2 linked regions of the Lonchura striata genome follow. The protein of the gene in region 2 purifies or fractionates together with the protein of the main gene of each other region. This does not show direct contact. Links are inferred from orthologs where the notes say so. Each region holds a gene or a part of one and is shown on either strand. Other genes may lie near its edges.

Evidence for each region.
Region 1: the proteins of MCRIP2 (region 2) and ATXN2 purify together in Homo sapiens (co-immunoprecipitation; 3 studies listed by BioGRID and IntAct, with this or other methods). This does not show direct contact. The link is inferred for Lonchura striata from reciprocal best matches to the Homo sapiens genes MCRIP2 and ATXN2.

Annotation. Positions count from the first base shown.
Region 1 is NC_134620.1:11,795,207-11,804,006, forward strand, and holds the start of ATXN2 (ataxin-2), read left to right. Parts: upstream 1-5,045; 5' UTR 5,046-5,075; coding exon 5,076-5,188; intron 5,189-8,800. UniProt on the Homo sapiens protein: Involved in EGFR trafficking, acting as negative regulator of endocytic EGFR internalization at the plasma membrane.
Region 2 is NC_134618.1:2,610,427-2,618,689, forward strand, and holds MCRIP2 (MAPK regulated corepressor interacting protein 2), read right to left. Parts: upstream 3,589-8,263; 5' UTR 3,510-3,588; coding exon 3,458-3,509; intron 3,379-3,457; coding exon 3,297-3,378; intron 1,695-3,296; coding exon 1,567-1,694; intron 1,365-1,566; coding exon 1,263-1,364; intron 457-1,262; coding exon 386-456; 3' UTR 11-385; downstream 1-10. Other genes in the region: METTL26 (methyltransferase-like 26), read left to right, coding at 5,165-5,361, 6,497-6,659, 6,756-6,815, 7,228-7,295, 7,502-7,580, 7,647-7,694.

The sequences.
Region 1 (8,800 bases), on a different chromosome or scaffold from region 2:
GCTGAGGGTGAGTATGGGATCCATTCAACCCTTTTTCCATTCTTCAATAAAAAATGTGGCCAAGGAAGAAGACATTGCTCCCTGAGCCATGTGGTTGCTGGAAGTGCTTGGCCCTGCTCACAGAAACTGCCTGGGCTTTCCCATCTCCATGGATGGAGCCTCACTTGATGCCCATGTCCAGGACTGGCGGGTTCCACCTAAAGCCAAAATCCCAGATCTGAGCCCCACGTGAGACATCCCAAAGGAGGGGAAAGTTTCACATCCCACTTCCAATTTGCCTGATGATTTTAGCACAGTGAACAGGGGAAAGAGCACCAGAGGTAACAAATTCAACCCTTTCCAAACACAGTCATGTGGTTGTCATCTGCCAAAAACATAAACCACAATCATAATCCTAAATTTGTCCTTTGAACATACCTGTGCCTGCTCTGTAGTAGTTTCCTTCTAATCCTCAGGGATTAATCCTGAAGCACATTGAAACATCTGAGGTGAAGGGCTACTGTGGAAATTCCTTGCAGGCTGGTAATAACAACTGAAAGCTGCTCTGCGAAGCAAACCTGAGGCTGACTTGGTTTTTAATGGACATCTGTCTGTAGGGGGAAAAAATGCCATGGCAACTGCCTTTCTTGTTGGCACGGCAGCCTCAGCGAAGGGCTGGGGAGAGGATGGGTATGGGAGGGTCTGTGTGGCTGTGCTGGGAAACCTGGAGGTACAGCTCGGCCAGGCTGGGAGGCAAAGGTTGTTTATGCTCTGTGAGCACCAGATCTTGAGGGATTTAACAGCTAAATCTTGGCATAACGATTGCTTTGTGTGCTGCTGCTGCTGCTGCTGCTTAGCAGGAGCCAGGCTGGGTTCCCCCCTCCTCTTTCTAAAAATGTGAAATCTAAAGGCAAAAAAGCACCTGGCTGGTGATTTCCTGGTGCTTTGCTGGGCAGGGTTGCTGTCTCCCAGTTTGCAGCTCTGTCCCAAGAATCGCTGCAGAGCCACGGCATCATCAGATGGATCCTGGAGCTTTGCTGGCTGAGGAAAGAAATGCCCTTGTTGTGTCCAAGGGCTGTGGAAATTGAGAACAAGGGTCATTCAAGGGTTGATAATGGGTGCACAAGCTCTGACACTTCTGTGCCTCCCTCCAGAGCTCCGTGGACATCAGCATTTCCCTTCATCTCCTGCTGGTTGCAGGAGAAGCAGCTGGATGCATGGCCCAGCAGGGACATCCATCAGCCATGCCCTGGCTGCACGGCTGAGGATTGGGAAGAAATGGCAACAAAACTGCAAGTGCAGATCAAAAACTGAATCTGATGGGAGCTGGTCTCCGCTCAGAGCTGAGCTGGGAATTTGGGAGCTGGAAGCAATGGGAAGATCAGGGTAAGGGGGGAAGGCAGAGGTGGCAGCAGCTGCTCCACGTGGCTGGTTTGGAATTTGGGGTTTGGTTTTGCTGTGGTACCAATCCTGGTCTGGCCAGGGGTGTGTCCTCAGTCAGAACTGAGGGCAGCTTTGGTGACGGGCTACATCGTATCTCTCTGGGAAGCTCTGCCGTGTGTCAGCACCTGATTTGTTCTCTTAATATCCTTCCAAGTGTTTGGAGATCCCTGTGCTCACAGCACTGTCCACAAAGCTTTACCCTCCGAGAGGAGGGGTGGGGATAATGGCACCGAAGAACTGAAATCTTCAGGGAAAACACGTGTGTGACAAAGCTCAGCTCTCTGAGCTTCTCCAGCAGCTGATTTTGCTTAAAGCAAACCCCTGTGCCTGTGCTGCTGTCCCCGTGTACCCAGGCGTGTTTTGTCTTGCTGGATGCTGTTGAGGATCACCCTGGGTAGCTCAGGGAAGGGAGCACAAGACGAACAGCAGGTTAGATCAAGGAAATGTTACATCACACGGCACTTCCTGCTAAGTGCTGCTATTATCAGCCTCATTCATCTCCACATGCAAATACAGCCTGCACACGTCGTCACACATCTGGAGGGAAATAGCAGTCCTGGAAAGGAGCAGCTCTGACCTGGATCGTGGACAGGAGAGGCAAAAGGGAGCATGATTCTCCACTAGGAATTGTTTCCTTGCTTTCTTGATTGAATCCTGAATTTTTCTCCAGCTAAACCACCACATCCACTGTTCACTGCTTTTTGTCACATCAATGACATCCAAAATGTCAGCTATAAATGGTGGGGAAGAGCAAAAAAAAAAAAAAAAAAAGGGTGAGAAATTGATAAAACCAAGCCATAAAATAATAACTTGGGAATGGTGGGCTATCAAGAAAAGCATATTCAGGAAGAGGTAAAGGCAATGATGTGCCCTAACAACAGTAGAATCCCATTATACTGGGAATTTGGGGAGGAGGAGGTGTCCCTGGAGAAGGTGGCTGCCACTGGAAACCACCCTGTAGCTTCTCTGGTGGTAATTGCTGAGCTATATTAAATGATCACTTCTATATTTACTTTTAACCTGCTTTTTTATAAAGATGCTCAACAAAGAAAAAAGGGAGGGCACAACGAAAGCCAAACGGAGCTTAAGAAAACAAAGAATACATTGAAGGGGAAAACAAGTCAAACTGCAACTGCTCTTGAGTCATTACTGAGGATGTGAATGCCAGCCCATTCATACCCTGCTTTCTGAGCACGTAATGTCACCCTAAAATGTACTTTGGTGTGCTCATGTAATGTCTTAGAAACTGTCTCTGCCTGTGGAACTTGGTTCAGGTATTTTTTGACATTTCTGGCTATCAAGGGCTCCATCTTTGCCCCACAGCCCCTTCAAACTGCTGCAGGTGCTTTTGTGGTCCTTAATCTTCAGCCACAGAAATAGTCACTAAGTGCTGTGAGCTGTGAACATTCCAGGCTGGAGAAGTATTGAAGTGATATCTTCTAAAAACCCCACGTTGAGTGACCTGGATGAGTTCTACTCACTCTCTTATCAGACTTCCTTGTGCTTTTTATTAACAACTTCCTTTTCAAAGTTGCTCAAGGTTCATGACTAATCCAAAGCTGTAGAACTTAAAAAGAGCAGCCTAAAGAGATTGGTTCACAGATTTGTGGAATATCCTGAGTTGGAAGGGACCCATAAGGATCATCCAGTCCAATCCTGGCCCTGCACAGACCCCTCAACATCTTCATAGCCTCTTTTGGGCCCTATATATTTCTTAGATTTTTATATACATCTATATACTACTACAACTATTATTATTATCATTAGCGTTGTTATTATTACTACTACTATATTGTTATATATTGTCTTATATTGCTTTTTCATGCTAGTGTGTTTTACACAAATATATATAAAGGATTTTTCTTAGCAGCTTTAGGAATTTATTTATCCTATCACATACAGTGAACCAGATTCCTGCTCTTACAGTGAATGCTCCCAAAATTGGTGCCAGTGGTAACCTTTGGCTGTGCAGGTGCTGACATCTTCCACAGAAACTCTTTGGCTCCAGAAACCCTCAGTGTCCTTCTCACTCAGTTCTGTGGCTGTGAAATAGTGAAGCATCTTGTGAGTTCACTAAAAGGATTAAAAAATGAAATTTCTTTAAATCACCATCTCTGTTAAGAGTATTTTCTATGGGAAAACTCAATGCTGAGCCCATCGGTGTAGGATCTGTCATCTAGCCTAGAAAGTGCTAACCACAAGGTTACTTGAGCCTGTGAGGTAAAACAAAGCAATCAGTTTAAAAGGTAAAATGTAAGGAAAATGCTAATTTAAGAAAGCTGTTCAATATTTTATCTTTTTACCATTGTGTGCTGCCACCCACAACTCTTCCAAGCGCATGGGAAAGCTGTTGCTTTAGGAGCAAGGTGTATAAATAATGCCTGCCTAAGAGCACTGCTCCTTTTTATTCCTTTGGAATCCTGTGGGATTTCTAGAGCATTTCTATGAATAGATTAAACTCTGAGCATTTCGAGTAACCATGGCTATAAATCAATTTAGCTCTTGGTTTTCAAGTTGCATCTGCTCTTACTAATCCTGTATGTGCATTTATTTTATTTATTTATTTTTTTAATAGGCCAGACCAGGCTTTATTTTTGTGTATGGGTTTTGGTTTTGGTGAAATTCCCACTCTGCACCAAGCAGGTTCACAACCACAGCACCCTGGATTTCTGCAGGGAGCCTGCCGATGGTGGGCAGGTAACACGGAGTGAGGGGAGAACTGGCATCTTGAGCGTAAAGATTTCACCCATCGGCGCAATGCAAATTTAAATTTCATTACTAGGAGGGGAAGCCGTGACTGCTCCGAAATGTGTAAGATGGAGGGGCACTGCAGGGAAAGCAGCCATCCTCCGGCCCCATCTTGCTTTCCCCCAGGAGCAGGGATGTGTTTGGCAGCTCTCTGCGGATCAGGGCCTGCCCTCCTCCCCCGGCCTTCCGCAGCCGCCCGGGGCTCGGCCATTTTTCCTCCATTTCGTCGTCTCTGGACGCTTGGTTTCTTTTGAACGATGCGCTGCGGGCCGAGCCCGCCGCTCGCTGGGGCCCGGGGAGGGGCGAGCGCGGCCGGGCCGCACCAGGCCGCGGCCTGCGGGCCCGCGGCGCGGGGACCGCCGCACACCGTGGGCCGTGCGGGGCCGGCCCGCCGGTGTCACCGGAGGGGTTTGAGCCGGCTCGGGGACTCCCCCGACCCCGCCGGGGCCTCACGGCCGGGCCGGGCGGGCGCCGCCGCCGTCCCGCGCCGCCGCCGCCTCACGTGTCCCCCCCTCCCTCCCCGCCCCTTCACCCGCCGCAGCACCGCCGCCGCGCCCTCCGACTTCCCGTAAAGAGTCCGCGCCGCCGCCCGCCCCGCGCCCGCCGCCGCAGCCCCGCCGCCCCTCGCCGGCCCCGCGGGGGTGCCCCGAGCCCGCGGCTGTGGCCGCCGCGCCCCCCGGCCCCGCCGCCGCCCTCAGCCCGCGGCGCGGCCCGGCCGCCGCCCGCCCCCCCCCCCCCGCCCTCCGCGGATCCCTCCGCGCCGCGCTCCGCTCCCTCCGCCCCGCTCGCACTGTTTGGGAGCAACCGGCCGAGCCAGCGGCGCCCCGGCCCCGCCAGCGCAGCGCGGACCGGCCGAGCGCACCCAGCCCGGCGCGACTCCCGGCGCTCTCCCTTCCCTCCTCGCCATGTCCCTCAAGCAAGCGGCGGCGGCGGCGCAGCCCGCCGGCAACAACCGCAAGCCCCCCGGCGGCGGCGGCCCCGGCCTCCCGTCAGCCGCGGGGAGGCAGAACATGGGCAGGTGGGTGCGCAGTGCCACGGGACCGGCCCCGGGCCCGGCGCGGGCGCCGCTCGCCCGCCCCCGCCGCCCCCTTCCCCCCCGCCCTCGCCCCGCACCGGCCTCCATGGGCGGCGGCGGCCGGCAGGGAGGGGGGGCGCGGGGCCCGCAGCATGGCGGGGCCGGGGCGGGGGCCGCGATGGCGGCGGGCGCGGCGCTCGCGGCCCCGCCGAGGGGGTTCCGCAGTGCCGGGGCGAGGCCGGGCCGCGGCCGGTGCCCTTCAGGCGCGGGGAGGGCACGGCGCCGAGGCTCCATTTCGGCCCCCCGCGGGGGCCCGGGGCGGGGGGCGCCGCTTCCCCCGGGCCGACGTGACCCGCCTGCTGAGGAGGGAGCGGGGGGAGCGGGGGGCGCGGGCCGCACGTGTCGGGGCCGGCGCGGGAAGGGCCGCGAGCGATGGCGGCGGGGCCGGGGGGCGGCCCGGGCGGGGAAGGGGGCGGCGATCCGGCCCCGCGATGGCGGCGCAGCGCCCTCGGCTCACCCGGGGAGAAGGGGGATATTAAAATAATTGTGTTTTTAAAATTTATTTTAATATCTGGGGATCGCTATTATTTGTAAAATTTTTTTAGCTTTTTTTTTTTTGTTTTATTTATTTATTTATTTTTTTTAAATAATGGAAATCACAATAAAATTCTCGCGGGAAGGCGGGCCTCGCCGCGCCGCTGGATGGTGGCTCCGAGCGCGGCCTCGCTTTCTCCCAGATTTTTGGGGCAGGAATCTTGCAGAGGCTGAGCCCGCTCCTCGCCTCCCCCCCACGCTCGCTGCCTCTGAGAGATTGATCCTGCTCCTGCTCTCAGATCATTAGCTACGCAAATCCACTCACATTTCCCCCCTTTCTTTCCCCTCAAATAATAAACTCCATAGTGCTGTGAATTTTTCCCGGGCTGCGGGGGTCATAACAAACGATCAGAGCAGGACGTTAACAGTTCTGAAGGTCACAGTCGCTCAGAGCAGTTTCATTTCGAGTTTTATTCATCTTCCTCTTCACAACTGGACGTTTAATCCCACTCGGTTTTGTGGCACTGGCAATAAAACAGAATTTACAGTGGCCCCATTGTTGGACATCACTGGAAATAGGGTTTTACTTTGTTCCCAGCCAGTGGAACTGGAAGCGGAAGAGCTTTGGAAGGGTTGAAAAGGACAAAATAAATAACAACAACAATACCTCAGCAGCTCACAGCACCGATTTAATAGTTTTTACATATGGCATTAGGTGGGACATGATGTTTACTGGGCTCTGTCCCTGCCAACACACAGTGGCACTGTAGAGGTTAACGTGAAGGGCAACAAAACCTCCAGCTTATTTTTTTAAATTCAGCCTGATGGCAAGCACTTACCCCCTTAGATTTGGACATGAGATCTTTGAATTCTCTCCCAAGTTTATGATTAAAGCCACTAGATTTCTCCTCCCAGTGTTGCCTTTCTGGTTCTATTGGATAAATTCCACTTCAGAACTCCCTAAGGAGTTCTGATGGGCCTGCTGAACAGCTGATGTGTTCCCTCAGAAGGGTTCATGCTCTTTGTTTCTTAATTTTTCAAGTTATTTCTGAATGGAGGGTCTGTAAAATCACAGTCCCAGGCCTGCTGGAGCCCCATGGAACACCTTCAGAGGACTTCCCCTGTAGCTGTCCTTGGACTTCTGGGGAGTGCAAATTCAGATATGGTTCATTCTGTAAATCTGGCCACGTGAATGAAAATTTAGGTGTCCTGCATCTTGGTATCAATTTGATGCATTGTATTCTTTAATAAAAACTTGAACATCTCCAGTGTATGTCAAGCTTTCTGCCCAGCAGCTCATTTCCCTGCAGCACCAACATTCCGTGCAGAAAAAAAAAATAAAAAAAATACTACTTTTCATGGCTAAGTTGCTCTTGAAAGCTTAGTTTGGGCAGAAAAGTCATTGATAATTAACTGTCCTGGGCCTCATTTTCTGCTGTGGGTTTGTTACTGGAAGAATTGGGCTGAGCACTTGTCCTCCTACCTCTGATCACGAGGGAAGGGTCAGCTCTGCTCGCTGCCTTGTCTCCATGGGTTCATACTGCTGCACATCTGTATTTCAGATTAGAAAAGGTAAAATCCCATGTGAACAAGCAGTGGTTTTTTTTACTGTCCTATTAATTGCTTTTGGACAAAGGGAAAAATCAGAAATGAAGGCATCCTTGAAGGTGTGTGAGATAAAAAAGAGGCCCCAAGTGGAGTGCTGTGTTTGTTTAATGTGCACTATGGCAGATGGGCTTGGGCTGCAGGGGAGATGCCAATAGCACAGCAAGCTGTAATTAGGGAGAATGTAGACTTGGTTCACAAACTTGCTCCCTGTGCTATCAGAACATTATCTAACATCTACTTTCTGTGTTTGAGCGGAGTTTTGCTGTTATGCAAGCACAGGAGGGTTAGCTGTCCTCTGGCTGCAAGTTGCATCTATCACAGCCCTCCTCCATCTCCGTCCTCTTTTTGTTCCTTTTTTCCCTATTGTTATTTTATCTGAAGATAAAACACCTCACGGTCAGGGTTTGGATGTTTCTTGTCTTGTTACAATTGTGGCAGAAGGGATTTTTCATTTTGGTAACTTGCTTGCCTAACTGGGCTTGGGGGATCCTGTAAGAATACACAGAGTTTCTGTCCTTTAAAAAAAATGTATTTTTCCCATCAAAAAGCTAAAACTGAAACCACCTCATGGTAAAAAAAAAAAAGAAAAGAAGACACAAACTTCTTGCCTCCGTTTCTTTTTCTTTTTCCTTGACATCCCTTTCTTGAGAGCATGGTGACTATCCTGTTCAGAGGGAAGGGAAGGGGAATGTTGAATGCCAAGGTGCTGGAATTTAAGGGCAGTGACTGTTCTGAAGGTCTGCTCACACGTGCCAGTCAGAGGTTTTTGAGTTGCTTCTGACATCTTTGTGTGGGTTTTAGTGCTAAACAGCTGAGCAGAATGACTGCTTAACCTGCAGGCCTCTTTCCTTATCACTGTGAGTGCACTTTAGGGTGGTGTTATATCCCTGGTTTTGAGTAACTTTTAATTTAACAACTGATTCATGGCCATGTCTGTGAAGGTTCTTCCATGACTAAGCCCATCAACAGGTTCCAGGTGTGCACTGGGCCAGACCTGAGTCAGGTTGTTACATATTCACATGGTGTAAAAGCTGTCACCCTGTGTGGAGATGGGAATTGACACTATTGATGTCAGCATTGGGGGGAAAAACTACAGAAAATAAAGCTGCAGGACTTCTTGCATAATCTTCATTTGACATCTTCAATTCATTTGACTTTATAGAGCCAAACACTGCACTGAAATAAAACCTTGCACTTCAGATTTCTCCCTTAGAAGAAAAGCTCTGCCAGCTCTCTCTGCACTAAAGTTCTTTAGAGTACCCTGTAAATTTGTTTTCCAAGCTTCAGCAGTGTCGGTCAGTGCTCCAGAAACATCCATTCACACTTTAAATTCGAGTCTTTGTAGCTACATTTCTGCTTCAGACTTTAATTGCAGTGTGGCTGCATTTTTTTCTTTGTTTCAAAGTGAAGATGGTGCTGGAAAGAAAACTGGAGACTTTCTTTCCCATCCAGGAATGACTTTGTTTCCCTTGC
Region 2 (8,263 bases):
CAGCTCCACGGGCAGTTTCAGCGCTTTATTGTCGGGCGGTCCTGCTGCAGCTCCCCCTGTGCTCCCCGTGCTGCAGGGGGGAGCCGCTCCCTTGTCCCCAGCGTGGCACTGCAGTGTCCCTGGAGCTGGAGGCTGCAGGAGCTGCAGCAGTCCGAGAACTGGCACTTAAGGAATCCTGGCTGGGGCTGCACGCTGCTCCTCTGCGGGGCACGGGGAGGGCGCGTGGCCGGGCATGGCTGTGGTCCGGTCCCTCTGGGCTGGCTCACTCCACTTTGGGCATCTTTTAAAAACGTGGTTCAAGAACACCACCGATGCTGGGCTGTCACCAGCTGCTCGCAGCTTTGTTTCTCTTCTAAAGAAACCAAACGCAACCTTTTCTTCCCTTTTATGAGCCGTTCTCGATTTTGGCCAGAAATTGCTGTGCCCACCACTCCTCCAGGTCGATGGGAACAAAGTCTGAAAAAGAAGGGAGGGAGAGAGGGGAATAGCTGGAGCAGGAGCAGAGCTCTGGGTGCCCTCTTCCAAACCCCAGAAAAAATGACCACAGAATCACAGAATTTCCTGAGCTGGAAGGGACACAGGGATCCTCCAGTCCAGCTCCTGGCCATGCACAGACACCCCAACAATCCCACCCTGGGCCTGACATCTTTGTCTAAACACTCCTGGAGCTCTGGCAGCCTTGGGGCTGTGCCCATTCCCTGGGGTGCTTGTTCAGTGCCCAGCACCCTCTGGGGGAAGAACCTTTCCCTGATATCCAATCTAATGACACCCCCAAGCCTCCTCCACCTCTGTGCCATGTCCCCAAAAGGCCAGACTGGGTGTACAGGAACATTCTCTTCCTTGGGGAGTTCTCAGCTGCTGCAAGAACCTGCAGGTTGCTGACTCCGGGTGCCACCAGACAAGTGTTGTCCCCATGCCCAATTGTTCCTGCTGGCCCCAGGAGAAGTGGGTTCCACAGGTGCCTCCTTTCTCTCCAGCATGATCCTGAGCCCCTTGGTGGCAGGAGAAGGCCTGAATGCCAGAGGAGTCAGCAACAGAGTGGAACATCCAAGGGACGCAGTGCAACATCCCCACCACAGTGCCTGGGGCCAGCTGTCTCCCCCCAGCACCCCCAGAGTGACCCAACCAGCCCCTCTGGCACGTCCAGCACTGGAATCCTCCTTGTCCTTCCACCACAGCTCTGTTCAGATGCAGACTGAGCCCACAGCCACTGCACCCCGAGCCTGATGCACCCCAAAGTGCCACAACCACTGCCCACTTACTTTTGAGTCCGGGGTTGGGGGTTTTCTCCACATACTGCACGGGGCCGCAGGCGCTCTCCCCGCTCCGGCTGCCGTCCAGCTGCTGCTCTACCTGCTGCCAGGCTGGAGAGGGGAACAAGCGCTGCATGGGTTTGGGATGGGGGTCCCCAGTGTGGGGGGCTGTGGGACAGGAGCAGGAGGTGGAGCAAAGGAGGGCAAGCCCCCAGGCCGGGGACTCCATGCCTGCCACCGATGTCCCCGGCATGGAGGGACTCCATCTGCTCCAGGTCCCCTGGGTGCTGCCCCAGGGACCCTCTGCCCTCACCTTCATAGACAAAGCGGACATTCTCCTCGTGGGCCAGGGTGTAGCATTCTTCAGGGGCTGAGATCTGCTGCAGCAGCAGGGGGGGCCTCTTGCCGTTCACTCTGTTGAAGACGAGTTTCTGCACTGGACTGTGGAGGAGGGAAGCAAAGGGGGATGAGGGCACAGGCAGCTCTGCGCACCCCAGCAAGAACTGGGGTGGTTCAGGTGTCCTGGGCTCCCCCACGGTGCACACACTCACCCACAGCTGTGGTCACCCAGCCTTGTCCTCAAGGACTGGGATGGAAAGGGACCCAGCCCCCAGGGGCAGGGGATTCTGACACAGGAGGGGTGCAAGGGGAGCTCCCTGGGGAAAAGCACCAGCTGCCCATCTCCCACCCATCCTGCAATCTAGCACCAAGTGCAGTCCCTAAGATAAAGAATCTGCCACTAAAATTGCAGGAACATGAGGAAATGGAAGTGAAATCCAGTCAGGTACTGGACAGAAGATGTGCCATCTTCTGCAGATCAAGCACTCAGGTTCACTGGAACAGCTCTGGCCCCAGCATGGGGCACACAAGGCGCCCCAGGACTGGGATGTTACATTCTGAAAAGTACGAGCAGGTCAGGCTTCCTCAGAGCTGGGATGCCCTCTGCTGAGGGGCACTTCAACCACTCCCTCCCTGGATGCAGCAACCCCCACCAGAGCTAAAGGAAAAACTTGGGATGAGACTTGGGAGCATGTTCAGTGCAAAACTCCAGTATTTTGGCTTTTCTGCTCAGCTCCAGGGCAGGACACGTCTGCAACAGCCACGTTCCTCATGGGACAAAGTCTAAGAGGCCCTAGGAGTGGGTTTGGAGGGCAGGAGAGACTGGGAGCAGGCAGCTCCTGCAGATCTGCAGGCAGGGGCTGGGGAGGGCAGTGACATTGTAGCCCCCACATCCAGGGGCACTGGGCAGACAGGAGGAGGGCAAGCATGGCAGAAGCCACTCCAGTGAATTCTAGAGATCCTGGAAAGCAGAGGGACTGGCGGGGGAGGCTCATCCATCCACTTCTTGGAGCTGGAGAGGAGGTGCAGAAACAGCGGGGTCCCACTATCCTGTCTGGGTGTGCTGTGACTCCAGCCCTCAAGTTTGGAAAGAGTCTCCTTAGGGGTCCCATCACCACCCCCCAGCCACTGGAATACCCCACAGCACCCAGCCAGCAGCTCCAGGTATTGCTGCGGGACACAAATTCACCCAGCAAGTGTCGCCCTTGCTTTTGGGGCAGAGGGGATCGCCAGCTCCGCGTGGGCTCCGCGGCCCCCGTGGGTGCGCGGCGCGGCCAAGCGGGCGGGCCCGGCGCTGGCCCCGCCGCCCGGTTTGTGCAATCGGGGCCGGCGGCGGGTGGGGGTTGCGCCAGCGGCCCCGCCTCTGCCCCGCACCGGGACCCCGCCGCGCCGCCTCCTTGGCGTGACCCCCTGGGCCCACTCCCCGAGATTTTTGGGTACGGCCCGTGGGAAGGAGGGGGACCGGCGCTCCGGTGTGTCCTGGACGCGGGGCTGCCCCGGCACGCGTGCACAGAGCTCCGCGGGACGCGTGCGGGCACAAGCAGCGCTGAGACCCCCGGGGCGAGCGGCACCGAGCGGAGAGCCCGCGTCCCCTCCCGCGTCCTGCCAGGCGGCCCAGCCGTCCCGTTCCCCTTCCCCTTCCCAAGGTCAAGCGGCGCGGCCGCCCCAGCGCCGGTCCCCGTCCCAAGGTCAAGCGGGGCTCACCTGGCGGGGGGCCACGGGCCGGGCTGCGGCCGGCCCCGCAGCTCGCCCAGTTTGCTGCTGTCCACCGCCTGCTGCGTGGGACCTGCGGGGAGCGCGGGGCGTCAGGGGGCGGCGAGGGTGGCAGCGAGCCCCCGCGGCCCCGGCCCCGCGCCCCCCGGTACCTGTGCGGCGCTGCGTGGCGAGCTTGCTGGGGCCGCGCGTCAGCGTGTACATCCTGCGGGCCCCGGCCCACGGCCCTGCCGCCCCTGCCCGAGTGCCTCAGGTGTCCCTCACCGGGCGTCAGCGGGCTTCGCCGAGCCAACCTCCGGGCACGCCCCCGCTTGAGTTAAAGGGAACGCGGGGGAAGCGGTGGGACGCGGCGACAGCGCGCGGCCGCTCGGGGCCGCGGGGGACACGCGCGGGACAGGCCGTGGGGACACGCGGGAGGCGTGCAGGGACACACGCGACATGTGTGCTGCGTAAGGGACGTGCCTGGGTTGTGGGGACACGTCGGGGACACATCGGGGGCGCGCGTGGGGATTAATGGGGACACGCAGGATGAAGGAACATGCACTGGAGACATAAGCAGGGCGCATATGGGGACTTCCATGGGACACAGAGGGGACATGTGGGACTCGCACAGGACGCACAGAATGCACACAAGGGACATTGGACCGTGCGGGGCTCAAGTAGGGGAAAGGGCACAAGCAGGCACGTGGGACACAAGATGGCACAGACGCGCAGAGGACACGGGAGTCACGGGAAACTCGGGGGGACCGGCACGGGGACATGCAGGAGACAGGACACTGGAGCCACGGCACACACAGGGGACAGACAGGTGTCATTCCTGGACCCCGGACAAAGGACCCAGGCAGGGAAAAGTGAAGGGGCGCAGAGGCAGGGGCTGAGGTGCCACCCCCACGGGGACAGCGCCGTGAATAGTCCCGAGCTGCACGTCCCATGACCAGCGCAGGGAGCCGGGGCGGGCAGCCGCGTCCCGGCCAGCGCCGTAACCTTTGGAGCGGGGACGTCCCGCCAAGGTGTCCGCACGTGGCAGGAGGTGCAGACCCAGGACACGACCCCGAGCTGGACCCCGGCCACCCCGCAGTGTCCACCGGCCGCCCCTGTGGCTGTCGACAGCACCCGGAGTTTTGGGGAGAGATCGTGTGATAAACACGAGGGTGACCTTCGCCTTTCCGCCACGTTGCCCCGGTAGCGGCCAGCGAGGGAGGCGTGTAAGAGGGTACCTCCCATAAAAGCCCAGCAGCGCCTGACCCTGGTGGGTGCCAGGCAGGAGCAGACCTTTTGGGGGTGTGCATCCACTGCTGTCACCCCCAGCCCTGTTATTGTGCCTAAAAACAACCCTGACCCATGGGATGTCACTACTGGCATGTAACGTGCTGGCGGCTGTGCCTCAGTTTCCCCGCAGACCTGCCCGGGGTTTCTAAGTGCCTGTTGGCGCACCCCTGACCTTTTCCACGCTTGGAAGGCCTGAACCCCTAATCCTTGTGCTCTAGGTGGATCCCTCCGGACCTCCATCACCGGTGACTGCTGTCGCGGGAAAGGGCGGGTGGGGGTCCCCCCTCGCCTCCGTTTTCCTGGGGTGCCCGCGCAAAGCCTCGCTTTGTCCCTTTCGGGGGTGCCGCTGCGTGGCGGCGGAGCGGCGGCGGCCGGGCCGGGGTCCCGCGGGGGCGGCAGCTCCGAGGGGCGGCGGGAGGCGGCGGCTGCCGGCCGCGCCGCTGGTGTAGTGGTATCATGCAAGATTCCCATTCTTGCGACCCGGGTTCGATTCCCGGGCGGCGCAGTTTTCTTTCTCCTTCCCCTGCCGTGGGGGCTCCGCCCGCGGCGCGGGGCGGGCCGGGAGCTGTAGTTCCGCCGCCGGCCCGGCCATGCAGGTCCCGGCGGCCGCGGAGCGCAACAAGGGCCCGATCCTGGCGGTGCTGCGGGAGTGCGCGGGGAGCGGCGCGGGCGCGCTGCGGGTGCTGGAGGTGGGCGCGGGCGCGGGGCTCCACGCCGCGCACTTCGCCCGGGCGCTGCCGCAGGCGCGCTGGCAGCCCTCGGACATCGACCCCGGGGCGCTGCGCAGGTGAGCGGGGCCGGGGGTCCCGGGGGGACGGGGACCCCGGGGGCTCCACCGGCACCCCTTCCCACGGACCATGGACCCGCGGCCCCCGCTCTCTGCTCCCCATTTTATTTATTTATTTATTTATTTATTTCGGGGATTTTGGGAAAACACCAGCGTCCGACTCTCCTGCAGCCCGGGCTCTCCTGCTTAGTGCTTTGTTCCCTCCAGGAGAACCCCGATATTCAGCTCTTGGATGAACTGGATGCATATTTTTTCCCAGTAAAGGCCTACTCAGCAGTGGGCCCAGGCTCCACGATTCTTTTATTTTTTCAGGAAAAACCCAATAATCGACTCTCCAGCAGCCCAGGCTCCCCCACTTGCTGCTGTATTCTTTCCAGGAAAACCCCAATATCCTGCTCTCAGATGAGCTTAATGTTTATTTTTTCCCAGCAAATACCCCCTTGGACAGTCCAGACTCTCTGGCTTGATGCTTTATTTTTTTCCAGGCAGACCACAATATTCAAGTCCTGCCCAGCCCAGGCTCCCCAGGTCAATACTCACTATATTTTCTTCAATAAATCCCCAATAGCCAACTCCCAAACAACTCATGCTTCCCAGCTCCCCAGCTTTATTTTTCCCAGAAAACTCCCAAAATTCAGTTTTCCACCGCAGAAAAATAATTAGCCTGGTGGGGAGGTGCTGGTACCAGCTCCTGTCCAGGAGGAGTTTGGTGCTGCCCACCCAGCAGCACCCACCACCCTGGGTAAAAATAATCTCCAGGCTGGGAGGCTGCAGGAGCTGAGACCTAGGTGGTGAATGTGCCAAAAAGGACATAAATAACAGCAAAATCAGGAGGTGCTGGTGCAGTGGTGCCCGTGGGGTGCCCCACAAGGGGACGGTGCTCCAAAACTGGGGAGGTTTGGCCCTGGGGCCTCTGTGTCCACATGCTGCTGGTTATCCAGGCACTCCCAGTTCTCCATCTGGCAGCTGCAAGCAAAGGGCTGGGCAAGGAGCCCCAGGCTGTGCTGCACCCACGTCCCTTTGTGGGTGTTCCTCCACTTCTGAGAGCCCACGCAGGGCTTTGTCCCTGCCTGCAGCACCTGCTGGGGGGCACGGGGCACCCGGCTGGGCCTGAGGCGGGGTTTGGTGCCCACAGCATCGCTGCCTACGTGGAGGCTGCAGGGCTGCCCAACCTGCTGCCCCCCATCCTGCTGGACGTGTCCCAGGGCTGGGAGACCTGGGGGGGCACCCAGCCCGCCTCCCTCGACCTCATCGTGAGCATCAACATGATGCACATCGCAGAGCTGCGGTGCACCGAGGTGAGCAGCCCTGACAGCCCCTTCCCCTGCCAGGCCGAGGGGGCTCCCAGGGCGTTCCCCAGCCCCCTGACCTGGTCCCCGCCTCTCGTTCCCCAGGGCCTGTTCAAGGGTGCTGGGGTGCTGCTGAAGCCTGGAGGTGTGCTCTTCACCTATGGGGTGGGTCACCTGTCCTGGTGCAGGAGCATCCTGGGGGTGCAGGATGCCAGAGTGGATACTGGGGGGGCAGGTGGGAGGGCAGCTGCAGTCACGGCTTAGGGGGAGAGCTGGAAAATGCAGGGGCTTGGCTTCTGGGGGTCTCTGCCTTTTTGGGCACATTCTGAGAACTGAAAAGAGCAGTTTTGGGGGAGACAGATCTTGTCCTCCCTCACCTCATCCAAAGCAGGGTCTGGGGGTGCCTGCAGTGGGTGACGGGACTCACAGTGCGTGGCGGGACTCCCTGGGGGCTCTGTCTCTTCCCGCTTGGCTTCTGTGCTTGGTGGGGACACAGCAGTGTCCGTGGAACCGGAGCTGGGGTGGAGGAGGAGGCACAGGGTGGCTCCTGCCTGCAGCTCCAGCTGTGTCCCACCAGCCCTATGCCGTGGACGGCCGGATCAGCCCCCAGAGCAACGTGGACTTCGACCACAGCCTGAGGCAGAGGTAGGAGGGGGCTGGGGAGCTCAGGCTCCTGGGAGCCCATCCCGTCCTCTCTGTCCCCCCCTGCAGCCGCAGGAAGCTCCCTCCCAGCGTGGTCCTTCAAGATAAGCCACGCCTGAGGGCAGCCCCCCAGCCGGGGGTGCCCCTGGTTGATGGGGCTGGTTTGGGGCGGGGTGTCCCCGGGGTGACCCGCGCCTCCCTCCCCGCAGGAATCCCGCCTGGGGGCTGCGGGACACGGCGCTGCTGCAGGAGCTGGCTGAGGCCAACGGGCTGTGCCTGGAGAGGATGGTAGGTGATGGGCGCTGGGGGGCTGCCCGTGCGGTGTGCACCCCCGAGCCCGCTCTGTGCTTCCAGGTGGACATGCCGGCCAACAACAAGAGCCTGATCTTCCGCAAGCTGTGACCTGCCCTGGCGGCGCTTCCAGCGCCTCCCAGCGCTGCTGTCCCCACTGAAGCCTCCTGCGGTGTCGCTGTCCCACCATGGCTGCCACTGGGGCTGGGGACAGCAGTGATGGGACGGAGCCCCACTCACCCCAGCTGGGGCTGACTTGGCTGGAGGGGGGGTCCATCTCCCCTAGTGCCCTTGGAGCTCCCTTTGCAGTGGGGTGCCCCAGCCTGGACCACAAGAGCCAGCACAGCTGCTGTGGGGGACACAGGTGTGTGTGGGGTGGGGGCACACAACACCCGTGGGCATGGGGGAGACTCCTTGCTCCATTTCCTTGGAGGATCTTGTGCTGGTGGTGTTCCCCCTGCCCCCCTCCCCAGGATTGTGCTGCTGCCTCCGCAATAAACTCTGTGGCTTTGCCCCCCATGCCCCAGTAGCTCCCTGATGTTTTCAGCACAAACACTGGGGTTGGGTGTCCCCAGTTCCACCTCCAGCACCAATGAAAGGGCCAGGTCCAGCACCCTGGGGTGTTACACTGGGCCCAGAGGCTTTGGTGAAGTGGGAAGATTTTATGAGTGGGGTGGTCC